2 linked regions of the Canis lupus familiaris genome follow. The main gene of each other region encodes a partner of the protein of the gene in region 2 in a complex. Links are inferred from orthologs where the notes say so. Each region holds a gene or a part of one and is shown on either strand. Other genes may lie near its edges.

Evidence for each region.
Region 1: the proteins of DISP1 (region 2) and SHH are in contact, whole or in part, in a cryo-EM structure (PDB 7E2I), measured with the Homo sapiens proteins. The link is inferred for Canis lupus familiaris from reciprocal best matches to the Homo sapiens genes DISP1 and SHH. Residues at the interface, in NP_001356523.1 of Homo sapiens: Lys242, Thr244, Gly245, Tyr246, Lys247, Ala248, Glu260, His265, Arg299, Phe336, Gly337, Asp338, Leu339, Cys340, Gln341, Arg342, Thr343, Glu459, Arg899, His904, Asp906; in NP_000184.1 of Homo sapiens: Pro49, Asn50, Val51, Thr55, Leu56, Gly57, Ala58, Arg68, Glu71, Phe73, Lys74, Leu76, Thr77, Pro78, Tyr80, Pro82, Arg96, Leu97, Gln100, Lys186.

Annotation. Positions count from the first base shown.
Region 1 is NC_049237.1:19,389,508-19,400,740, forward strand, and holds the start of SHH (sonic hedgehog protein), read right to left. Parts: upstream 6,752-11,233; 5' UTR 6,422-6,751; coding exon 6,122-6,421; intron 2,540-6,121; exon of another isoform or gene 2,277-2,539; intron 1,071-2,276; coding exon 809-1,070; intron 1-808.
Region 2 is NC_049259.1:24,589,695-24,600,280, forward strand, and holds part of DISP1 (protein dispatched homolog 1), read right to left. Parts: intron 10,029-10,586; exon of another isoform or gene 8,243-10,028; intron 7,499-8,242; coding exon 7,375-7,498; intron 6,556-7,374; coding exon 6,428-6,555; intron 6,332-6,427; exon of another isoform or gene 5,957-6,331; coding exon 5,859-5,956; coding exon of another isoform or gene 5,843-5,858; exon of another isoform or gene 5,694-5,842; intron 4,232-5,693; coding exon 4,134-4,231; intron 789-4,133; coding exon 1-788. UniProt on the Homo sapiens protein: Functions in hedgehog (Hh) signaling. Regulates the release and extracellular accumulation of cholesterol-modified hedgehog proteins and is hence required for effective production of the Hh signal. Synergizes with SCUBE2 to cause an increase in SHH secretion.

The sequences.
Region 1 (11,233 bases), on a different chromosome or scaffold from region 2:
TGGCATGGCTGTTCCTCGCCAGCGACAGCGAGTGGCGTTGTAGGCCCAGGGAAGCCACCCGCTCGCCAGAGGCCGCGCTGCTGCAGCTGCAGACTCTGGGCCCGGGCTCAGGGCAGCCCAGCTGGCTCCTAATAAGCACGGATGCTTCTGGGCTTGCGGCCTCAGGATGTTGGAAGCGGTGACCACTGGGTTTATGACCTCCCACCAGGCCTCTCTCCAGAGGCTCAGCCAGTGAGTTAAGTTAGTTTAGTGTCCGCAGACGCCCACTGGGGATGGTGGGGGAGAGGACGAGGGGCCTACACCCCGGGCAGAGCCTCCAATGCGGGGGTCGAGTGGGGGCTGGTTGGCTCTTCAGCCTTCAACGAGACAGGAATCTAGGCCAGACCCGGCTAGCCCAGCCGTGCAGGGCTGCAATCTCTCATCAGGAAAGCCCCCTCCCCCATCTTCCCTGTCTCCGCCACCTGCAGTGGGGGCTCCGGAAACAGGGTGGGGGAAGGCTCAGGAAGCCAGATGCCCTCTGCATCTGGGCTTGGAGAACCTCGGGGCCTCGGTGGTCTCAAGGGTAGGAGCCACTTTTGGCTGGCGGGACCCACCAACAGGCTCTGTTGGCACACCAGGGACTGACTTACCAGCCAAGCCCCTCCCTCCCCCTGCCCCTCCACCAGCACGTTCATCCTTTCCCCTCGCATCCGCCGTGGGGCCCGACAGTGACACGTCGCGGGCAGATCGGGGGCTGCTGGTGGGCCGGGGGGGGTGCTTCGTGGGCACAGGGTGGGGGCTGTGGAGTAGGGCAGGCCCGCCGCCTCACCTGCTTTCACAGAACAGTGGATGTGCGCCTTGGACTCGTAGTACACCCAGTCGAAGCCGGCCTCCACGGCCAGGCGGGCCAACATGCCGTACTTGCTTCGGTCGCGGTCTGACGTGGTGATGTCCACCGCGCGGCCCTCATAGTGCAGCGACTCCTCTGAGTGGTGACCGTCCTCGTCCCAGCCCTCCGTCACCCGCAGCTTCACGCCGGGCCACTGGTTCATCACCGAGATGGCCAAGGCGTTCAGCTTGTCCTTGCACCTCTGCGGAGAGAAGGGGCCCCACGGGCATTAGTACCGGGTCTGCACCCCCATCCCTGCCCTGCAGGCTGCCCTGCTGGGTCCCTGAGGGTTAGGACTCTGTGGGGAGTCGGGAGGAGGCCTGGGTGGGGCCGGCAGGCTCCGGGGAGCACTGAGGTGGGAGGAGGGGGGGGCATCCGCTGGAGGAGCCAGTCCTCTTGCAGGTAAACTGAGGGCCTGTCTGTGAGGTCTGACTGGCAGAGCCCCCACCACGGCCTGAGAAGGAGGGGACTCTTCTTGAGACAAGGAAAGTGTGTCTCCCACGGTCACGGCAGGGCCTGCCAGGCCCCCTCCCCCACGCTGCCCTCCACTCCCGATCCCTTCCGGTGGCCCCGTTTCTGCACACCTGTGCGAGGCTCCACCTTCGTGCCCGGCCTAACTCCCTCCCCGGGAGGCCAGAGCCAGGCCCAGGGCGCAACTTGGCAGAAATAAAGAACGTGCGCGGTATGCTTCTTAAAGAGCGAAAGCCTTGGGTTATCTCTGGACCCTCCCTCCTACCCTGTGCCTATCTGAGGCGTGGGTGCCGCCAAAGGGAGAGAGGGGGGTGGGAAGCCGATAGCCCCGCCGGCGGGGCGGGAGGGGCCCGAAGTGAAAGGCAAGCAGGTGAGTAATAATTTTCAATGCGGGCCAGGCCTAACGACAAACATTCTTTATCTGGACAGCCACATTCCTTTTCCCCATAGACCTCTTTTCTCCGGCTTTTCTGTGGTCTGATTGTGTCTCTTGTTTTCCTTAACCTGTTCCCTCCCCACCCCTTGTTTTCTTGGCCCCGAGCAGAATGGCGTCCGGCTAGTTTGAAGAGCAAACTTAAGAGGTGGAGGGAGGGGGCGGGGCAGGAGGGGTGGGGGAGGGGGAGCCCGAAAGGCCCGAGGCCTCGGAGCCCTTGGGGAGTGCCCCTCCCTCCCCGAGGAAGCTGCTCTGGCCGTGGATGTGCAGAAACACTGAGTGCACAGGACACGAACCGGGGCGAAGTGAAACTCGGGGTCAGGGGAGTCCCCGCCTGAGTCTCGGGTCACATTCAGATAAGGATGCTAGAAAAAACAGAGCCATGGCAAGCGTGTGCGCCCGCGTGGGTACCCGCTCAGGGCCCGGGCGCTTACAGGGACGGGGACGCGGGATTCACAGGAGGGGGAGTGGTGGCAGGATCCCCCAGGGGCATCCCCAAGAGACGCAGACCTGGGGGACGCGGGGCAATTTCAAGTTGACCTCCCGCAGAGGGTAGGGCTGGTCTCCTTCCCGCAGCGCATGCTCGGCTTTGGAACCTGGTAGGCGGGGAGGAAGGAAGACCCGGTCGGGGATCCTAATAACAGCGTGGGGACTGCTTTCCTGCTGAGCGAGGGGAGCTGCCGCGGTCCCGCTGTCCGCGCTCTACGGGGATGTGGAGATTGCGCAACAGGAAACGTCCTGCGTGTCGGACAGCAATAAAACCAGCAGTACGGTAGTCGAGTTAAACATCCAACAAATGGGGGGGGGGGGGGCGGCCCTGGTAACAGGTCAGCGCTGGCAGGTTTCTGGGCCTGCCAGCAGTTTTCTTAAAAAAAAAAAAAAAAAAAAAAAAGTCGGAGGGGCAGAGTTTGAGTGAGGTCATCTTGAGGATTGAACGCGTTTTACATGAAAATCAATCAGTAAACCGGGGTCAGTTCGGAGCCGGGCGGGGAGGCCGGCTGCGCAGGCGCGCACCACCGACACGCACACGCACACCTCCCGCATCCCGAGCCCCGCGCCGCCCGGGCTCGCTCCTCTCGGGGCTCAGAGGGGGCCCGCACGGCTCCCCGCGGGACGGCGGGTGAGGGCAGGGAGCGCGGGGAGGCCGCGTGCCCGCCGCAGGCGCCCTGAGCTGCGCCCCTGGGGCATGGGGTGGATGGAGGACCCCCGGCGAGGAGCCCCAGGCCGCGCCAGGCCCGAGCTGCGCCCTGCTTCCCGCGCGCCCCCGCCCCCCCGCGCCCCCCGCGCCCCCCGCGCCCCCCGCCTGGCGCGGCCTCGGCCCTCGCCTGCGGGACGTGGTGCCCCCGCCGGCCGGAGAGGCGCAGGCGAAGCTGGGACGCCCAGGCCGGTTAGCCATTCACTGGGTCGTGTGCTGCGAATCAAGCCGGGCTCTGTGCAGCCACCGGAAAGCCCAGCGGGGCCGCGGGGCCGGCTTTGTGTCGGCGGAGGCCGAGTGCGTCCTCGCGCCGAGCCCCGCCACCCCCGGGCCGCGCAGCCGCCCCGAGCCCACCCGCCCGGGCGGGACTGTCACCGCCACAGGGCGCCTGGCCGTCCCGGCGCGGGGGAGGGGTGTCCCGACTTCAAAAGAGACACCCCCCCACACACACACCTGTCTCCGCCCCTCCACCCCCTCCGAGGAAACAGACCCGTCCTATCCCAACAGGAGCGCCCTCCTGGAACCCACACCTGAGCGCGGGCCCGGGCCGCCACGCACACGGGGATCTACCCGGCGTGGCGTCCCGGGCTGTCCCCGCTGCGGCCCCAGGCCCTGCCCCGGCGGCCGCCTCCTGCCCCCCGAGCCCCCGGCCGCCGCGCCCGCGCCTGGCACCCGCGCCTGCGGGCCGAGCGTGTCTGTCTGCGCTTCCCCCTCTCCGAGTTAATATTAACCAGGAGCTCATGCGTTCCAGAACTGCTCCGAAAGTTCCACCGGGGACGGTCTTGCCATGGTTGAGGGACTCGGGCGGCGGCCACAGTGCAGAGACGGGGACGCGGAGGGACGGCTGGCCCGGGGCGCAGAGACACGCGCACCTGGGACAGGATGTCCGTGGTGGCTTTGAGTGCGCGGCCAGCGGGCCAAGGGTCCCGAGCAGAGCTAGTCCCCGGGGGCCAGGAGGCGGCCCCGCTGCACCCCTGCCCCCGGCCCTGCCCCTGCCCCTGCCCCTGCCCCTCGCCGCCCGGTCCTCCCCGACTCTTGGAACCAGGGAAGGAGGAAGGGCGCCTTCCGGCACCACCCCACCAGCCAGCCGCCTTTTCGGGGGACATCTGTGGGGTGCGTGACACCGTCCTAGCCAGGCTCTCCCCACCCCACCCCCACGTTGGCTGCCCCTCCCCCGTCCTTTTGTGCCGGGAACGGGAATGGCCACTGCCTAAGGAAAGAAAAGTATTTGTTTTCGTTTCGTTCGTCTGAGGGAAGTTGACAGAAGGTCAGAAGTTCAAATGCTGCCAGCGCGCGCGGCGGCGACAGTGGCCGGCGCGGGGCCGCTCGGCCGTGGGTGCCCGGCGGGCGACCGGAACAGGGGCCGGCCGGGGCTCGGCGGGGGCGCCAGGCCCCAGGGCCCCCGGGAGCGCGGCGGAGCTCCCGACCGTCCGGCCCGTCGGAGCCTCGCCGCCACCCCGGCCCCCGCCCCGCGCCCCGCGCCCCGCGCCCTAGCCCCGGCCTTGGGGACCGCTAACCCGGGAGGAAGGGGCGTCAGGTGCGGCCGCCGGGGGGCGCGGCTCCGCGCGCTCGCGCACCTGCGACCTGTGACCTGCGGCGGGGCCCCGGGGGATCCCTCTCCCGCGTGGGCCCCGCGCGGCGGCAAGGGGCGCACGCCCACCTCGCGGGCTGTGGGACCTCCGCCGCCCTCCCCGTACCCCTCCGCGCCCCACCGCCGGCCCGGCCTCGCCTCCCGCCTTCCCGGTTCCGAGGGACTCCGGGAAGGCCACCTCCCTCCCGCGGGGGAGCCAGGTGACCCAGGTCAGAGGGCTCCCCGCGGCCGGCCGCGCCCCCGGCGCCCCGCGGCCTGTGCCCGGTTCATTGTGGCTCTCGCCGCTCTCCGGCACAGGCGCGCGCGTCCACACTCGCGGTCCAGATTTAAGGTGGTCGCGAGCAGATGCGCGAGCGGGGCATGGAGACCCCGTCCCCGGCTCCCTCGGGCCCCTCCCGGCAGCTCCCCTCCCTCCTCCCTGCGGCCTCGCGGCTGGGACCGCGCTGGGGAGCGAGCGGCCCGGAGGGGGCTCCCCTCCCCGCGCGCCCTCCTCGGTCCCCGCGCCCCACCGCCGCGGCTCCGCCAGCTGTGGTGCGCTCCTAGCCCGAAAGGTAGGACTTGGATATTTTAATAGGGCAATAAAAAGGATGTTGACCTATATTTGCCAGGAAATCCATTTCTAGCTTCAGTTATACGGGCATGGAGTTTGAGAAAGTCTAGGGCTGGCGGAGGGGTTGGGAGCCCGAAGTCTCAGGCAGAGGTGGGGAGGGAGGGGGCTACGTGTTTGGCTTTGGTTCTGCATCGTCCTAGCCCCCTCCCGCTAACAGCTCGCCGCGGCTCCGGGTCCCGTGCCAGCAGGTTGACCGTAGTGATGCAATGCCAGGAAGTTCTAAGTCCCTCCCCTCAAGGACCGCGGGCTCGGGCTCGGGAGAATGGAAGCGCATCCTTAAAGAAATATCAATACATTCACACTCTGATGGGCACCACTGCCCGGGGTCGAATGGCAGCGGAGCTGTGCTGTACACTCGGGGGCCAGGTGGCGCCTCGGGAGCCCCAGCCTTTTGTCAGCGCGGCCTCGGGGCTCTCCCCATTGAGCGTCTTTGGGGGGGGCAGAGGGGTGGGGGTCGCCGTGGTAGAGAAAAGCACAGTGGACAGGGAGAAACGTGTCCGCTCCCCTAAGGCTAATGCTCTAGGCTGCATTTGTACAGTGACCTGGAAGCTACTTTATGCGTATGGAGGGGATTTCTGCCCCTCTCCCACCATGTCCATTCCCAACTCCGGAGGGGCGGATACCCCCAGAGTGAAGGTCTCCCCAAGTTACAAGGCAGAGCCCAGGCAGGATGGGAAGGCCATCCTGGCAGGACAGAGCAAACAAGGGCCATCGGTGGACCACGTCTGCCATCCTGACCCCCACCCCCACCCTAAACTTCTCGGGCTGGACCCCTGGCCTCCATTCCCTTCTGAGAAGAGGAAGGGATGTCGGGCAGGCAGGTGGGTGGGGAGGGAGAGGGTGAAGTCGCCTTGCTATCTGCCTGAAGAGCAAACAGACTGGGTCTGGAGCGGCTGGTTACACACAACCCCCGTGAAAGCAGTACATTCCACGCCGCGGCGCTGGGTTTCTACCTGAGTCATCAGCCGGTCTGCTCCCGTGTTTTCTTCATCCTTAAATATGATGTCGGGGTTGTAATTGGGGGTGAGTTCCTTAAATCGCTCCGAGTTTCTCGAGATCTTCCCTTCGTATCTTCCACTGGCCCCTAGGGTCTTCTCCGCCACGTTGGGGATAAACTGCTTGTAGGCTAAAGGGGTCAGCTTTTTGGGGTGCCGCCTCTTCCCAAATCCCCTGCCGGGTCCGCACGCCAGCCCTGAGCACATCAGCAGTGCGCAGACGAGCACCGCCAGCATACATCTCGCCAGCAGCAGCATCTCGTCCGCGGAGCCCAGTGCCTTGCCTTCCACGCCGTCCCCGCGCGGGTCTGTGTGCGCGAGTGCGAGTATGTGTGCCTGTGCGCTCGGGCTTGCGCTCTCCCTTCCTCGCTCGGCTTGCTGCTGGCTCCCTCGCTCTCTGCCTGGCTCTTTCTCTTCCTATATAACCTCGCCCGCCGCTGCTGCGGGAGAGTGGCCACCGATCCCCACCCAGACGGGGGCTGGAGTGGCAGGCTGCTGGCCGCTGATAACGGAACACATCGGAGTTAGGGCTGGAAACAGCAATCAAAAGACAAAAAGAGTCTGATTTTAAATGGTAGCAAGCCTGGAGAGCTTGCGAGACAGGCTGCCCTCGGTGCTATATTATAGCTGGCAGGGGCGTATCTGATTGGCCAAAGCAGCGCAAGCTTGTCTTCTGATGTTTAACCCTAAAAAAGACTAAATTTTTTTTTTCTGTGGCTGCAGTTGCTTTATTTTCACCTGAAGCCTTTGAGTTAAAAAAAAAAAAAATCTTTCCTGAGACAAAGGTGGGCGGGAGGGAGGAGGCACGCTCCTTAGGATAACACTAGTTACCTCCTGCTTTGTGCACAGCGCGGTGTTCCCCCTTCTCTTTCTCCAGAATGGTAGGTGCTTCAGTTAAAACCAACTTAAGTTTTAAAGGACAGTCTAGACCCCCCCTCCAAGCTTCAGTCATCAAACAAATATTCTCTCAAATGTTTGAGGGGCAAAGCTGCCCGGGTCCTGTTTAAATTTTTTTTTTTTTTTGGAGACTTTATCATGCAGGCCAAGTCTCCCTGCATTTTAAAGACAGAGGGTCTGCGCCTCATCCTGAATATTCAACATCCTTGGACGGTGGTCATTCTCACTGACCACAACTTCCAGCACGGCTATTTGAAGTGCTTTAGGTGCCTTAGACAAATATGAAAATGCCGCTCCTTTATTGTGTTTCAGCTAAGTCGTTATTTTTAACCCCCTGGAAATGGGATGCAGGCAGGCTCCGGGGCTGGTACAGAGTGGCCTGAGGGACTGTCCAGAAGGCTGGGCCAAGTGCATCTGGGTGCTGCACCCCAGCTCAGAGGAGGGAGCCGGTGCTAGGGCCTGCGTGCTGGGCGGAGGCCCATTGTGCCTGGGGGCAGTGGCGAGTGGGCAAGGCTGTGCACACACCACCCCCACTGATCAATCGATCGAGCAAAGTGCAGGCCAGGGATGAGCTTGATGTGGAATTCAGGCTCCTTCCACATCGGCCGCGGGCTTTCCATGGGGCTCTGTGAGCCAGCCCTCAGGGTCCTGGGGGCCCGAAGCTCACTATGGGGAAGGGGCCTGGGGGCACATTTTTTGGTCAAGGAGGGCACAGTCCTCAGAGCCCGTAATACTGGAGTCCCCAGTCCCTGTGCTTCTTTCAGGAAAAAAAAAAAAAAAAAAACCTAGAAGTGCTATTTAAACCAGAAAAATAAAACCTGAAACCCCCCATTTTGCAGAACACAGCCTCTTCTCATTCCCCACCCCCATCTCACTCATATATAGGAATTGCTCTAGAAAAAGAGCAAGGGAGGGAGGGCTCTTCCTGGAGAATGGGGGTGTTGGTCCTGGAGTGTTACTCTGTGAAGTTAGAAGTGTCCCTGGACCCCAGTCCAGCCAGGGAGGTGGGAGAGGCCAGGTCTAAGAAGAAGGCTGGGCCCTCAAAACAATGGGATGTCCGGAGCAGCCCAGGCCAACCTCAGTGCAGATGGATCTGGTTAGGGGGGTGGGCAGGGGAGCACCTTGACAGCCATCCAACTGGGCCTTGAAACGGCTGAGTGGATATGGGGGCTCTGCCAGTCAGGTCCCCAGTGGTCCCCCCAGGCTTGGCCCCCAACCCCCATCATCAACATTCTCTGGGGAACGCCCACCCCTGGGCAAGGTGGGGAGGCAGCACCCAGTTTTATCAAGGCCTACGGATGAAGGAGGGTCTCCATGCAGATGATAAAGGGCCAGACTTCTTGCCCAGGCTGTGTGTGTCTGTGCGTCTGTGCTCCCAGTAGACAGATTCAGAGAGGACACTCAGGTCTTGGGCTGCCACTGGGTGGTGCGGCCTTGTGAAGCTGCCCAGCCCTGGGGACTGGGGGCTCTCCACCCTTCTGGGCTCCTTCCCCCACACCCTTGCCGGGTCCCCTCCTCTCCCCCTTCTCTTCCCTCTGTCCTCTCCCTCACCAACTAGACAGAGGTGAAAGAGCCCCAGCACTGGGTCATGACCTCGTGCCCAGGGCCTGCGACCCCATGTGGAGCCCAGGGCCAGCTCGGTGGTGTGTGCCTAGGACACATGATTCCCAAAGGTGTGGGTATCCAGGCCCCACACTCACCGTTGTGCCTTGCATGACCCTGGAGACCCCCAGCCCAAGCCTGAGCCTGAGCCACAGGGAGCAGGCTGCCTCTGGGCCAGGAGCAGGAAGGGCTCATGCCTTGACACTGCACTCCTCAGGGCGACCAGGGGGTCCCAGGCCTGCTGGCCTCCTGCCCCCAAGATGCCCCTCCATCTCACTGCCAGCCCAGGATACCCCAGATGCCGCCAGGGGCCGCCTGCCCTAGGACTGGCCTGTCCTCAGGAATGAAGTGACGGTGGATGGTCAAACAACCATCGACACCCTATTTCCCAGCGTAGGCTCCCTGCTGTGGGTTGGGGGGAAATCTGGACAAAACTCAACTGTAGTGTATCTGTATTGCTTCAGAAGCAAGGGCACCGGCAAGCCCCCCACTTCCCCTTCCGATCATCCGCCCCCTCCCCACTTCTAGACACCAGACATGCTGTCTTCCACCTCCAGACACCAGATGGCTCCCTCTCTTTGCCTTTCCCCTCCAGACGATGGGGGGGCCCCTCCCCACGGAGGTCAGAGGTTCCAAACCCCAGCCTCGGCCTGACCTGGCCAGACCTCCGGCACCAGCCAGGGACCCATTTCTCACTGTGGGCACAGAGGGTCACCGGCCACCATCCCTCCCCCCGCCCCCCCCCCGGCGCCTTGCCCCTCCCTCCTCTCCTCCCCTCCCCCTCCCCCGCCATCCCTCCAGCCCTCACCAGCATCCCCGCTGCGGACAGGTGGCTGCCTGTCTTCTGCCCCCACCCCCCCAGGCGCCTCCTGGGCCTGCCCCCGCCTCCCAACCGGCCCCCGCCACTAGATGGCCTCCTCACTCTGCCTTCAGGCTGTGGCTCGGCCAGTTTGGGAAATCCTGCAGACCAGACTGAGGCCCCCTCCCCCTCCCGGCCCCCTCCCCAGGGCTGTGACCCCTCGTTTCCCTCTGCTCACATCAGTCCCCACTAGGCCTCATGGCTGGAGCTCTGCCCCCCACCCCAGGAAGCTGTCGCCTGCCTCGCTTCTCCCCAGGGCGGGTGCTCCTGAGACCTGAGTTAGGGCTGCAGGCTCACACTTCCTCCCAGCCCTTCCCTTCCCTTGCTCTTCCCCGTAGGACTTCTACTCCATCTCTCCTCCCTCCAATTGGGTCTCACTTTGGCAACCTGAAGTACTGTGGCTGCAGCCGGGACCCCTGATTTTTGGAGGGATGTGACCCTCCAGAACTGTTCTCCCAACCCCATGGCCTTTGCTCCATCCCTGGACTCGGGGGATCTGAGTCTCCCACTTCCCACTTCCCCAGCAGGAAGAGCCCCGCTGTCCCTTTATGAGTAGAGTCCACCTGCAGGTGAATACAGGCCACAGCGCCCCTGCCTGCCCCGAGGCCACCCAACAGGGGTCCGCTCAGTGGCTGGCCTCCCTGCATCTGTGTCTCCATCACCCAGGCCAGCAGTGGGGAGGAGGCCACCCTGACCTGTAAGGCCTATGCTTCCTGGCCCTGGGTGGGGGGGCCCTGGCGTCCCCTGGGCTCCCAGCACTTTCTGCAGCAGGAGCACAGATGATGTCCCAGGGCCCATTCCATCCCTACATGATCCCAGTCCTTCTCTTGTCAGTTTGGCTCAGCAAGCCGTGGCAGGCTGGTGTGCCCAGGGTGCTGCCCTCCCCGAGGGGATGTGCTTGTGTCCTGGAGTGGGGACCTTCCTGTTGATCTGTCCCTGTCACACAGAGCCCCTGGGAGGCAAAGAGCATGCCCCTTCCCCAGGACTTGCCCAGCCCGTATGGCACTTCGCTCACACAGCAAGCAGTGACCTCGGGGCTTGGTGCAGGAGGACGCTGACATGCTGGAAGACCACCCAGCCAGCTGCTGAGATGGAAGGCCAAGTCTTGACCAGTGGACGTACTAAGGCAGACACACTCAGCGTGAAATGCCCTGCTTTCTGAAGTGCAAGCTCCTCTCTCCAGATCAGCCTCCCCTCTGGGGGGGTCACTTACCTTCATTCTGAGCGGGGGGGTGCTTCTCCGCAGGTCTAAACAATGCCTAGGGGTGTGGCCCTTCCAGCTTCAGGGTGGTTTCACCAGGGAGCCACAGACCTCCTGTGTGAGTGGGACCAGAGGTGCTCAGAAGTGAAGGGTCCCTCCCTGGCCTGGGCCTGGTGGTTCTGACCCCATCTCTAGTACACTGTCCCTTGTCCCCGAGCTGGTCATTCCTCAGATCTCTGGACCTTGTTAGGTCACAGATGCCCTTGGAAACGCCGATGCGGTGAACCCCCACAGCAAGCTAGGCTTGCCTCGGAAACTTAGTCGACAAGAGACAAATCCAGTGAGCACCGCCTGGCCGCCCCTGCACAGTCCAGAGTTTCTGCTCTGCTGACTTCCCTGCTGGGGATCCCGGGAACCCCTGGAGGTAAGAGCCAGGGGAGAGGCCCTGACATGGTGGGTCCTCATCCTCGGGACGCTGCTGTTCTCCTGGGGTGTCTTCCATGGCTGCCCC
Region 2 (10,586 bases):
GCGTGCGGCCTGTCGCACTTGGCGTAGCTCCACACGTCGCACAGGACGAAGGCGTCGTCCGCACCGATGCCGACCAGGATGACCAGCGCCGTCAGGTTCATGAACGGGAAGAACTCGAAGTTGAACACCACGCGGTAGAGGAAGTAGGACACGATCAGCGAGCTGATGACGGCAAACATGGTCATCAGGGTGATGAACAGGGACCTGGTGTAGGCGCACATGACCAGCAGCACCAGCAGCACCGCAATGGCCGGGTAGGCTGTGTCCGTCAGGAGGTAGTCCTGGAACAGGCTGTGCTTGATGCCGAACTCGATCCCGGCCACGGCGGTCACCCCGTCGGAGCCGTTCCAGTTCTCGAAGTTGTCCAGGTAGATGTCCATCATGCTCTCCCCCTTCTCCGTGGGCGAGAAGAGCATGCTGTACCTCAGCGTGGGCGCGGTGGGCGCGGCGGGCGCCTTCGGGGCCAGGAAGTCCTTGTCCACCAGGAAGTGCAGGATCTGGTACACGGCGTTGTACTTGACGCACTTGCGGGGCACGCCGCTGCACTTGAGCTGGCCCTTCCTGCGGGCGCCCGCGTCCCAGCAGTCGGGCTGCAGCGTGCCGTTGCGGTAGTGCTTGGCGCAGGCCCGCAGCAGCTTCAGCGTGTGCGACACGTCCCGCTCCACGATCTGCTGGCAGGACGACCTGTTGTTCAGGATGGCGATGTAGTTGCCCAGCGTCCAGCTGGGGCAGCAGGACGCCACCGTGGTCCTCTGGCACAGGTCGCCGAACTGCGGGTGGGCTCTGATCTGCAGAGAGAGACACGCGGACACCAGCGTTTAAGGCCTGTGGGGGGGGGGCAGGTGCACGGCCTCCCCCAAGCCTCCCCCCACAGTCCCCCCGGCGCGTCCCTCCAGGTGGCAAAGTGCCCAAAAAACCTCCAGTGTGGCCTTGGTCTTAACGAGGAGGTAAAACCAGCAGCTCTCGAGGAGACTGGCCTTTTCAAAGGCACTTTCAGGGCAAAGGAAGGGACGGCGGGGCCTGTGCTCTTCCATCTGGGGGGCTCAAGGGCACAGGACGCCAGCTGCTGCCTTGGCCCAAAACCGCCGGTCATCGGCCTGAGGTTCCGGGCGACAAAGGCACGAATGCAACCAACTTAACGGAAAGCCAAGAAAACGGTTGCCCAGAAGAGCACCAGCGAGCCCCCGGCTGACGCCAGACACCGATGTCCGCAGTGCGCGGGGCCACAGCCAAGGGCATCCCCAAGCAATGAGCACAACGGGCCGCGGTGCCCAGTCCCATCCGTCCACGCAGGTGAGATGGATACTGAGTGGCAGCCGACGACGTGTGCATCCTTTGAGCTCATCTGGTAAAGTGCACCCACGGTGCACGCAGCCTTTCCTCCACGGCGGGAGGGAAACCGAGACACAACGCCAAGGCCAAGGGGGTCCGGGCCTCCACACCACACAACCCGGACGCATGTGCATGAGGCTCAGCCTCCTCCTCCGCAGCCAGAGCGACTGTGTCTCCTCTGCGGGGCTGAGCCTCGCTCTGCCCACATCTCTGTGGACGGTAAAGACAAGTGAGCCGAAAGGGGGATCATTCCAAGGGGACTAAGGTGTCACCCCAAGAGCCTGATCCGCCAGCTCGTTTCTGAAGAGCCACCGTTAGTTGGCGTTTGTGACACAGGGTCATCAGTTCCGGTGGCCTCCGGGCGCAGGCGTCCACACTGCCGACTCCGGGGACGCGGGGAAGCGGCCGTCGGCCTGCTGCGTCTGGTAGGGGGGCGGCCCCGACGCCAGAGGCTCTCGGTCGGGGGCAGCGAGGGTGGACAGGCCGTGGCCGCGCAGAGGGGCACCGTCCAGGGCTCGGGAGCCAGGCGCTGGCGGTGAAGGGAGCAGGGCTGCCGGCCACAGCCCAAGACAATGGGCCTCGGATGACCTTCCAAATGGCAGCAGGGTTTGCGTGCGAGTGAGCGTGGTTTGGCCAAAGGTTCAACGGTGACACGATAAACGCGGATCCACCGGCGGGTCACCTGCCAAGCGCCATCCAGAGTGGGCCCGGCCCGGTCTGCAGGCAGAGGTGGCCGACGGGCGACCGTGCCAATGGTCCTCCAGGACCCGGACGGGCCCAGAAGTAAGGACGGAGACGGCCGCCGTGGCCCCGAGCTGGACGCTGGTGCCTGAACCCACGGGGATGCAGCTCGAGAGACGAACGAATCCATGATTGCGCCGCAGGGGGAGTGGAAGTGACTTCTCACAGCTCGGGGGATGGGGCGGCCACGGGCTGTGCAGGGTGGGGAGCTGGGTCACCCCGTGGCTGTGCCGGGGCCAGACAGGGCGGCGGGGGTGGGCTGCAGAGCTTCAGACGACGCCTTAACCCGTAAACTGCCGGCTACCGGGAGCCTCACCGGAAGGCTGAGAGCAGGACGGGAACAGAGCGCGTCCTGCTATGGGGCCCCTCCGTCCTCACGTGCCACAGGCCGGCCCGCAGGTGCTGCCGGGGGCCCCAAAGCCCACGCCGCAGACGGGCGCTGTGACCTCAGACCCCTCCTGCGAAGCTGGCCGCCTGAGCGCGGACTTCCACGAGGGCAGGACTGAGGAGCCCGGGAGCTTCCAGCGGCCTCGAGGTCCCAGAAACACTCGGCGGGTGTGGAGCCGGACCCCGAGGGGGGCCCAGGACTGGCCTGCGGGGAGCGGCTGCCCTGCGCAACCGGCAGAAACCGCAAGTGAAAGGACACGGTGGCCGGGAGACTGCCCGGCTTGCTCGCCTGTTGCGCTGCATCCGGGCCATCCTCCCTTCGCAGACGCCACTGAGCGCGGCCGGCCGGAAGCCACGCACTTGGACGTCACGGCGCTGACTTCCTGCAGGAATAGCTGCTGCTCGACGTTCTCCTGCCACCTCCTAAGACGCGGCTAGAACGGCTCAGGGCCACCCCCGACGTCGGCTGAGGACTTTTGCAGGATGTCACGACGTGACCCACAGCGGACGGGTGAGGGTCTGGGTGCGCGCGAGCCTGGAGGCACCAAACAGTGAGCCGCAGCTCAAACAGCTACACATTCTAGGCCGTGAGGACTCCCGGAAGACCCCGAGCAGAAACGGCACAAGGACACAGGACGGAAGGGACACGTGGTGGGAGGGACAGGCGTCACCTCACCACCTGCGAAGACAGGACCCCGCAGGGGCGGGCGCTGCCGAGCAGGGGGCCCTGCGCTTGCTCCGGGCCACCGGTCCACACCGCATGGCTTGTAACATGTCCCAGCTTCCGGGTGACGAACTGACAGCTGCAGACGAGGAGACAACGCAACAGGCAGACGCTGGCCAGTGATCCAGGAACTTGGTTTGTTTGCAGATGGTCTGAGTCTGTGCGGGCGCAGCCGAGAGCAGATGGCGCGTGCGGAAAACCCGGCCGGCCTGATGGAGGGAGGTCACACAGTCCTCCCGCTGGAGAGTCGCGTCGGGAGCCGGGGAGCCGGCCCGCTGACCGCCAGGAGCCCGGCCTCCCCTGAGGAGCCCCGTGTGCGGTGTAGACAACAGCACCAGGCCCAGGCCAGCTCTCGGCCCGGGTGCAAGTGCATCTCCCGCTGTCGGTGAGCTCACACGCAGGACGCACGCCAGGCATGTGGCGCCCTCCTTCCCCGGTGGCTGTGTGTGGGCAGGTGCGGGGGCAGCGGCAGCAGAGTGCGCTCTCCGGGGGCCTTGGCCCCACCACTCAGGCTCCACGGACCATCTCGCGTCCTCCATCTGCAAGGGACTCCCCTCTTACAGACGCTGGAGCCCGGACATCCCCTTCCCCGCCCGTGCCCTGAACCTGCCCCGAGACCCGCTGGTTGCCAGAGAGGCTGTGGGGACGAGGACACGGGGGAAACCCTGCAACCAGCTGAGGAGAGACCACCCGGGAAAGGAGAGCCAGCGTCTGAACTGCTGCCCTGGGAGGAAACTCGCGTGGGACACAGGAGGGGGCGCTGCGCTGGGGGGGGCGGATCCGTGGGGGCCACACGGGGGCTCCAGGATCCCGGGGCGCACACGCAGGCGACCAGGACGGAGGCCCCAGCGAGCACCCTCCGCCCGCGCTCACCAGGCTCAGCAGGGAAGCGACCGGCACGAATGCCAGCTCGTTTGTCCGAGACGTACGCCAGGGTCACTTTACATACCCTTGAGTTATCCACGCTGCACATGGACTTAATGGCAGGTAAGCTCCACAGCGTGTCCCCTCCGGCTGACGCAAACACCACCCTGGAGTACCGGTCACCTGGTGACATGAAAAAGAAAAGACAGAGGTTCATAATTGTCCGCTCCCATCATCAGACTCAGCATCCAGGAGCAGCCCTACTGGGGGAGCACAGGACGGGCCATTGGCAGCGGGGTCCCTTCCTACCCACGACACCGAGGGCTTGCAGGCCGTCCAGGACAGGTTAGCAACCGCAATCCGAGAGAACCCGGACTTGGGAGACGCGGCACCAGGACGCGGCACAAGCCCAAGGAGGACACGCTGAGCTGTTCTCCACGGACGTCAGCCGGGGGCAGACGGCAGGGGGTCAGTTTAAAAGCACTGAGACCAACCCGCCGGACCCGAGGGGCCAGGGTCTACACTGCTCTGATGGCGCGGACGCAGGCCAGTCGTGGAGCCTGCCGCCCCTGTTGCCCCCCATTGCAGGCACGCGTGTCTCAGGCACGGGAACCCAAGGACACATCGCTGAGCCGTCAGCGCCGCTTCCGCTCCGTCCGCCCTGGGGACTTTGTACGAGTTCGCCTGGCTGTGCCGACACTGCGGCCACCTGTGACCGTGTGAATAAAGCTTTACCACGCGAGCTTTTATTCACCACCAGGAGGTTTCCTTCAGCGAACTCTTCACCCGACGGCCATTATCCTATGTGGACTCCAAAGAGCAAATCAAGGCCGTGGAAACAGCCATCTCCCCCTCGAGGCGGAGCCCTGGCCAGGGGTGGGGTGTGCGTGTGGACTGCAGGGACCCCATCTGGCCTGTGTGGGGACTGGCCAAGGGAGGCCGGTCTGGGGATGCACACTGCCACTCCGAGACAGACCCAGCAGCCTGGACATTCACCAGAGCTCAGATTTTCTAAAAGTGCAGAAAAAGCCATGTGCGCTCCTTCCCGGGACCAGGACAAAATGTCCCTGACCTCCTACTATGCGCCTGCCTGATGCTGTGGGTGCCGCAGGCTCAGCTACACCTAGAAGCATCAGAGGCCCGGTGAGGCCTGCTAGAGAGCTAACAGGACAGGAAAGCACACATTTTGGGGGCATTTTCAATAGATTTTAAAGAGCTGAGTTCAAAACAGCACTGCTGTGAAGATTCGCTGGGGGAGAAGCTGTAGGTCCTCATGTCCTTAGACCCAGGGCGTGAACCCAGGGTCCCAGGATCGAGTCCCACATCGGGCTCCCTGCATGGAGCCTGCTTCTCCCTCTGCCCGTGTCTCTGCTCCTCTCTCTCTCTCTCTCTCTGTGTCTCTCATGAATAAATAAATAAAATATTTTAAAAATATATATATATGCTCTCTGAAATAAGACTTGAAAAGTATATTTCTCTAAGATAGTAGATTATTTTAGGGGTTCAATCCAAAAATATGTACCTGACAATATTTTTTAAATAATGTAAAAAATTTAAAATGACTTGGAATTTGGGGCAAGATCAAGAATCTCATTAGATATTTTGTGTCCCTTTAAACTAAATCTCTTATTGACTTTTGTTACAGGCAAATAAATCCAGCTTAGTGGTCGACTGACCCTGGGAAGTAAAACTACGAGTCACTGCTATCTGTGTCAGTGCCCCACACGTCTTCCCACCAGTCTGGATTTAATCGTGCTCCATTCTGAGCGCGAGGAGCCCCGAGGGGCTGTTCACCTGGGATGCCACTCACTCGGAACGTCGCAGAAAAAGCTGTCTTTGTGGAAGTTCCAGTCGACTTCTCTTTTCTCTCTTTCATAGTGGTCATCTGACCATCTATCATCCCGATGGCTGAAACGGAACAACAACGTGGTCTTGAGTAAAGTACCGTCAGCAGCACAGGGCACACAGCCAGCAACTATGTAACAGCGATGGAGGCGAGCCGGCATAGAGTAAACGTGTCTCACTGCTGTCCTACGCCCGGAACTAACCACAACGCGATAATAAACACTTAAAAATAATAAAGTACTAGCTGTTTCAAGGCCAACAAGCACACCTGTAACGCTCTACCCTCAGTCATGACCTACTTGAAATGAAAAGGATGCATATAAGCAACCAACATCCATTTTCTCACATCTATAAAAAGGGAAAAAAAAAACCAAACCCTCACTCTTTTTACCTTAATACAACAAAATCTTAAAAAACAACGAGAATGTACACAAATCAGCAGCAAAGACTTCGAGCTTAATCATCTTGTTCGGGCAATGCTTAGAAGTCAAATTCATTCAGCAAGGTTTTGTGTGAAAGTTAATAAACAATTACCTTTTCGCTTGTTCATCTGCGTACTTAAATGGATAATTTGCCAACGTTGCCTTGTATCCCGTATTTTTCACCATGTTATTCCACGTAACCAGTCTCTGGCCTATCGCAGTCCCTCTTGGCTCAAAACCCTGAGACAAAATATCACAAATTCCTATTAGTGCGGTTTGCTTCAGGGTAAGTAGGGTCCCAGCAGGTTGGGGACGCGGTGCTGGGATGCTGTGTGGCTTCGGTAGGAAGCGGGGACGCGCTCGCAGCTGCCCGGGGACGAACAGCACCGAGGAAGGTGGCCCGACCCGTCGGTGGCCTCCGTTCACCACAACAGCGCGGTTAGGCTCCCTGGTACGTGATCCGTCTCAGCAAAGGCGGGCGGGGGGCGGTGGGGGGACTGTATCTGAAGCTTCTCTTTCAAGATCACACCTAAGCAATTAGCAGGTGTTTACTTGGATGTCACAAAAAATTATGGTCACATCAGACCATGTCATGCAGTGTTTTACAGGAACATGTACTTAAAAACAGACCCTGCAAACAAAAAAACAAAACAAAACAAAAACAAAAACAAACCCCCAAAAAACAGACCCTGCTATCATCTCTCTGTGATGCTGAAATTCCTTTCACTGCTCTGCGGGGGGAGAAAGGGAGACATTCAGTCTTAAAGACATTATGAGAACATTTTTATAGAATTCAGATTCTCCATTTTACTGCTTTTTAGCTTAAACGTGGCAGCCAAGGAGGAAAACCTCCAGGTTTGTCGGTGAGAGCAAGTCCGTTGACCTCTTAGGAACCTGAGACTTGAAGGACATGGGTTTACTTTTCAGGAGGAGAACTGCAAGCTCCTGGTGACTCGAGGAGGTTTGGGGGAAACAGGATAGAAGTCACATAATGCAACATGTATTAAGATACTTAATTCCCTGAGGTCACAGAGACGCGATGGGCTGAGTTCTCCTTACCAGCAGTGGATCAGAGAAGTCGGGAAGCTCCGGCACTAACACCCCAACCAAGGCGCAGACTACGATGAGCAGGGTGCACATGCCCAGCACCAGCACGGGCCAGTCGGCTATCAGGGACGCGTAGCTGCGGGGCAGAGAGGAGCACAGGAGGGCGCTTAGACGGACGCGGCCAGAGGCCCACTGCCACGACAGGAGGGTGTTGATCCCAGCTCGGACCCCGTCCAGGGCCTCTCAGTGGGGCGGCGGCGGGACCAGGACACAGCACAGGTCGCGCACAGAGCCCCTGGACACAGGTGCAAGGCCTGCGCCCCGCAGGGAGCCCCCGCCGCCTGCTGTCTCCTCCAGGACTCGCTCCTCCCGCCTTGAGCTGCGTCGGCTCCTGGAGAAGAACACGGTTCACTGCAGGCTCGCAAATTCCTCATCAGAGCAAGCAGACCGCACTGAGCCCAGCCCCGATGGGGCTTGCGCCGTCAGGAACGCGGGGGCCGCCGCTCCAGGGCGGGCGCTGGTTTCGTGCAGCATCTGCACCCAGAACAGCGCCTTCCGGAGGGGGCCGTGGGCACCCACCCCGTCCTCACTCTCTGGCCACCCGCCCGCCGCCGGGCCGCTGGTCCCCTCCCTACCGCCAGCCCAGCCCCCAGGTCCAAGTCCTTTCCTCCGGGCGCCCCTCCGCCCTGTAGGACCCTGGTCCCCATTCTCATCACGGGCTCACAGGTCTCGCTCTCGGGGGCATTTACTTCAAAGTGAATCTCAATATGGAAATTAAAGTGGGGCACGACTATGCGTGCAGGGAGCACGTCCCCTCCCTGGTGCCCGGGGATCCCGCGGGGCTCTCCTTTTCGGCCCAGCCTCCGGAGGAGGGACTTACGCTCACTCCCACGCTTCACACCCATCGCCGCCCTTCATTCTCCCGGCCCCGTGCAACGCGCCGGGGTGCGGTTTGGATACATGCAGAGAGCCAAGGCCGGCCCAGCCGCACGGCGAGCCCGTCCCGCGGAGCACATGGCACGCTGCCAACACCAACACCGTCGTCTCACGCACTTGCAAGTGGCCAACACAGTGGACCTTCAAAGGTCTCATCACGAGAAAACAGAAGCCTGCACCTCGCCGTGGTGGTCGCGTCACCATCGGTACAGACACTGGATCGTCCAGCTGCACCCGAAGCTGATGTGAGGTCGCCTGTCAGCCGGAGCTCACGTGCGGAGTTGCCAAAGGAAGCCCAGCTCTGGCGCGGGGGGCGGGGGAGCTCCCAACCACGGCGACACCATCTCTTGCTTCGAACACGAGCGCGACAGGGTCACAGGACTGAGTCCAGGCGCCCCGAGCCATGCCCCCCCCGACTCGCCCTGTGCCCTGAGCCCCTAAGCCACACACTCAACGTCGTGATGCAAGACCACTTAGGTCTGTGGGCGTCCGCATCCGAGCATCACTCACGAGCCCCGCCGATTCCAAATTTAACAACTCGCTCAGGGAAAATCCCTCTAGATGAGATGGAATGATGCTTGAACGTGACTCCGAATGTAGTAAAAACACGCCGACCGCGGGCGCTGGTTGGGGCTGCTCAAGCGGACACAGCTTCCAGAACACGGAACACGCCCGGCACGGAGAGGCTCTGATTTTATTTCCTCCTCCACCAAATGCAAACTCAAGATGAAAGCGACCGGCAGGGGGGCAGTCGGGTCCTTTGTCAGCAGCGCATTTGAGGCTTCCTGTTCCTGTTCCCGGCTTCGTCCTACACGGTGGACAGGACGTGAAAATGGCCCCAGGCTGAAACCACTACTCACCACGCGGTTTTTTAACTAGACCCGTTTTCCCACAAATGAACCTACAGGCCGCTTGCCGGTGGGGGCACCGGGCCTCATTCCAGCGCCGAGGGCTGACCTGCCCACGTAATGACTTCTGGTCTTGTGTTCCAGAAACACCTGCACACGCATGCGCTGCAACCTGGAAACCCTCTTCAGTCATTGCTTTCCTTCGCGTTGAGAACGTCGGACGTGACTTGACAGTCGCGTGTGTGCCGACTCCCCACGGGAGCCTCGCCGCATTGGCCGTCTCCACACGCGGCTTCCAGACCTGGCCCGGGACACGGTTCCCACGTCCAGGGAGTAGCCGTGCTGCTGCCATCGGGGGAAGGACTCCGACGTGCGTCTGTCCTCAATACCAGGCGCTGCTGCGGTCCATCTGCCGCTCTTGCCGCCCGAGCCCGAGCCCGCACAGCCGTGGGCACCGCACGGGACGCTCTAGGCTCTCGTACATCATGAAACCAGCGCCATGGCGTGACACTACGCTGCAAATCTAATAAAGCAGGAGAACCGGAGGAGTAAAGGAAGTCAGATGTGGCCTAAAGGAGTCAGAGCTACGTTTGCCCCTAACTCCACTCCTGGTGAGTCGGACCTCGGTCCATGCTGCAACGGAGCTCAAAGAAGCGCGTGCCTGCGCATTACGCTCCTGGGAAGCGGACCCCGGGGGCCGGCGAGGACGCATCATAAGGCCCCAGCTTTTTCATAAGGCCCCAGCTTTTACTGTGATCTGTCCTGCACGTCCCGACTGAAGTGTGCAGACGCCACAGCACGGCTGCAGGAGCTGACGAGCCCGAGGAGCTCTCCGGGCAGGCGGCCCGGTCCCCTCGGCAGCACACCGAGGCAGCCGGCACGGACCCGAGGTGCTCAGCTGCTCGCCCCGGACGGGATGCAGGGTGCGTGGCACGATCCATGGCCGTGGGGGGCTGGGTGGGCCTGCTGGGTGGCCCGGCCCGCTCGCTGGCTCTCCGCGTGCATCCCCCACGCCCCTCGGGCTGCCCGCTACCTCATAACCGGGCTCACTCTGGGAAAGATCAGAAATAACCGTCAAAGGAAGCACACGAAACCTCTCATAGGTGGACCCCCGGACCCCCAAGCGCGGTGGGTCCCTGGTGCCTGAGGCGGCCGCAGGCCACCGTCCCGTCGCAGCTCGTGAGGCTCTTTGCCTCACTGGCCCCTCCTCTCCGCAGCAGGCTCTCCTTTCTCCCCTTCCGTCTGCTTCAGTCCACATGCCCTGCACTCAGCGCCCAGCCTGCGGGCACCGGGCGCTCTCCCGGACCTGCCAACGCCAACTGCCAGCACCGCTGGTCTCCGTCCCCGCTGAGCTGAGCGACTCAGCACCTTGCTAACTGTCCCTTTGCTCCCTGAGAATCTTCCTCCTTAGCGTCTCCCCTGGTCTTTCCCTTCATAATC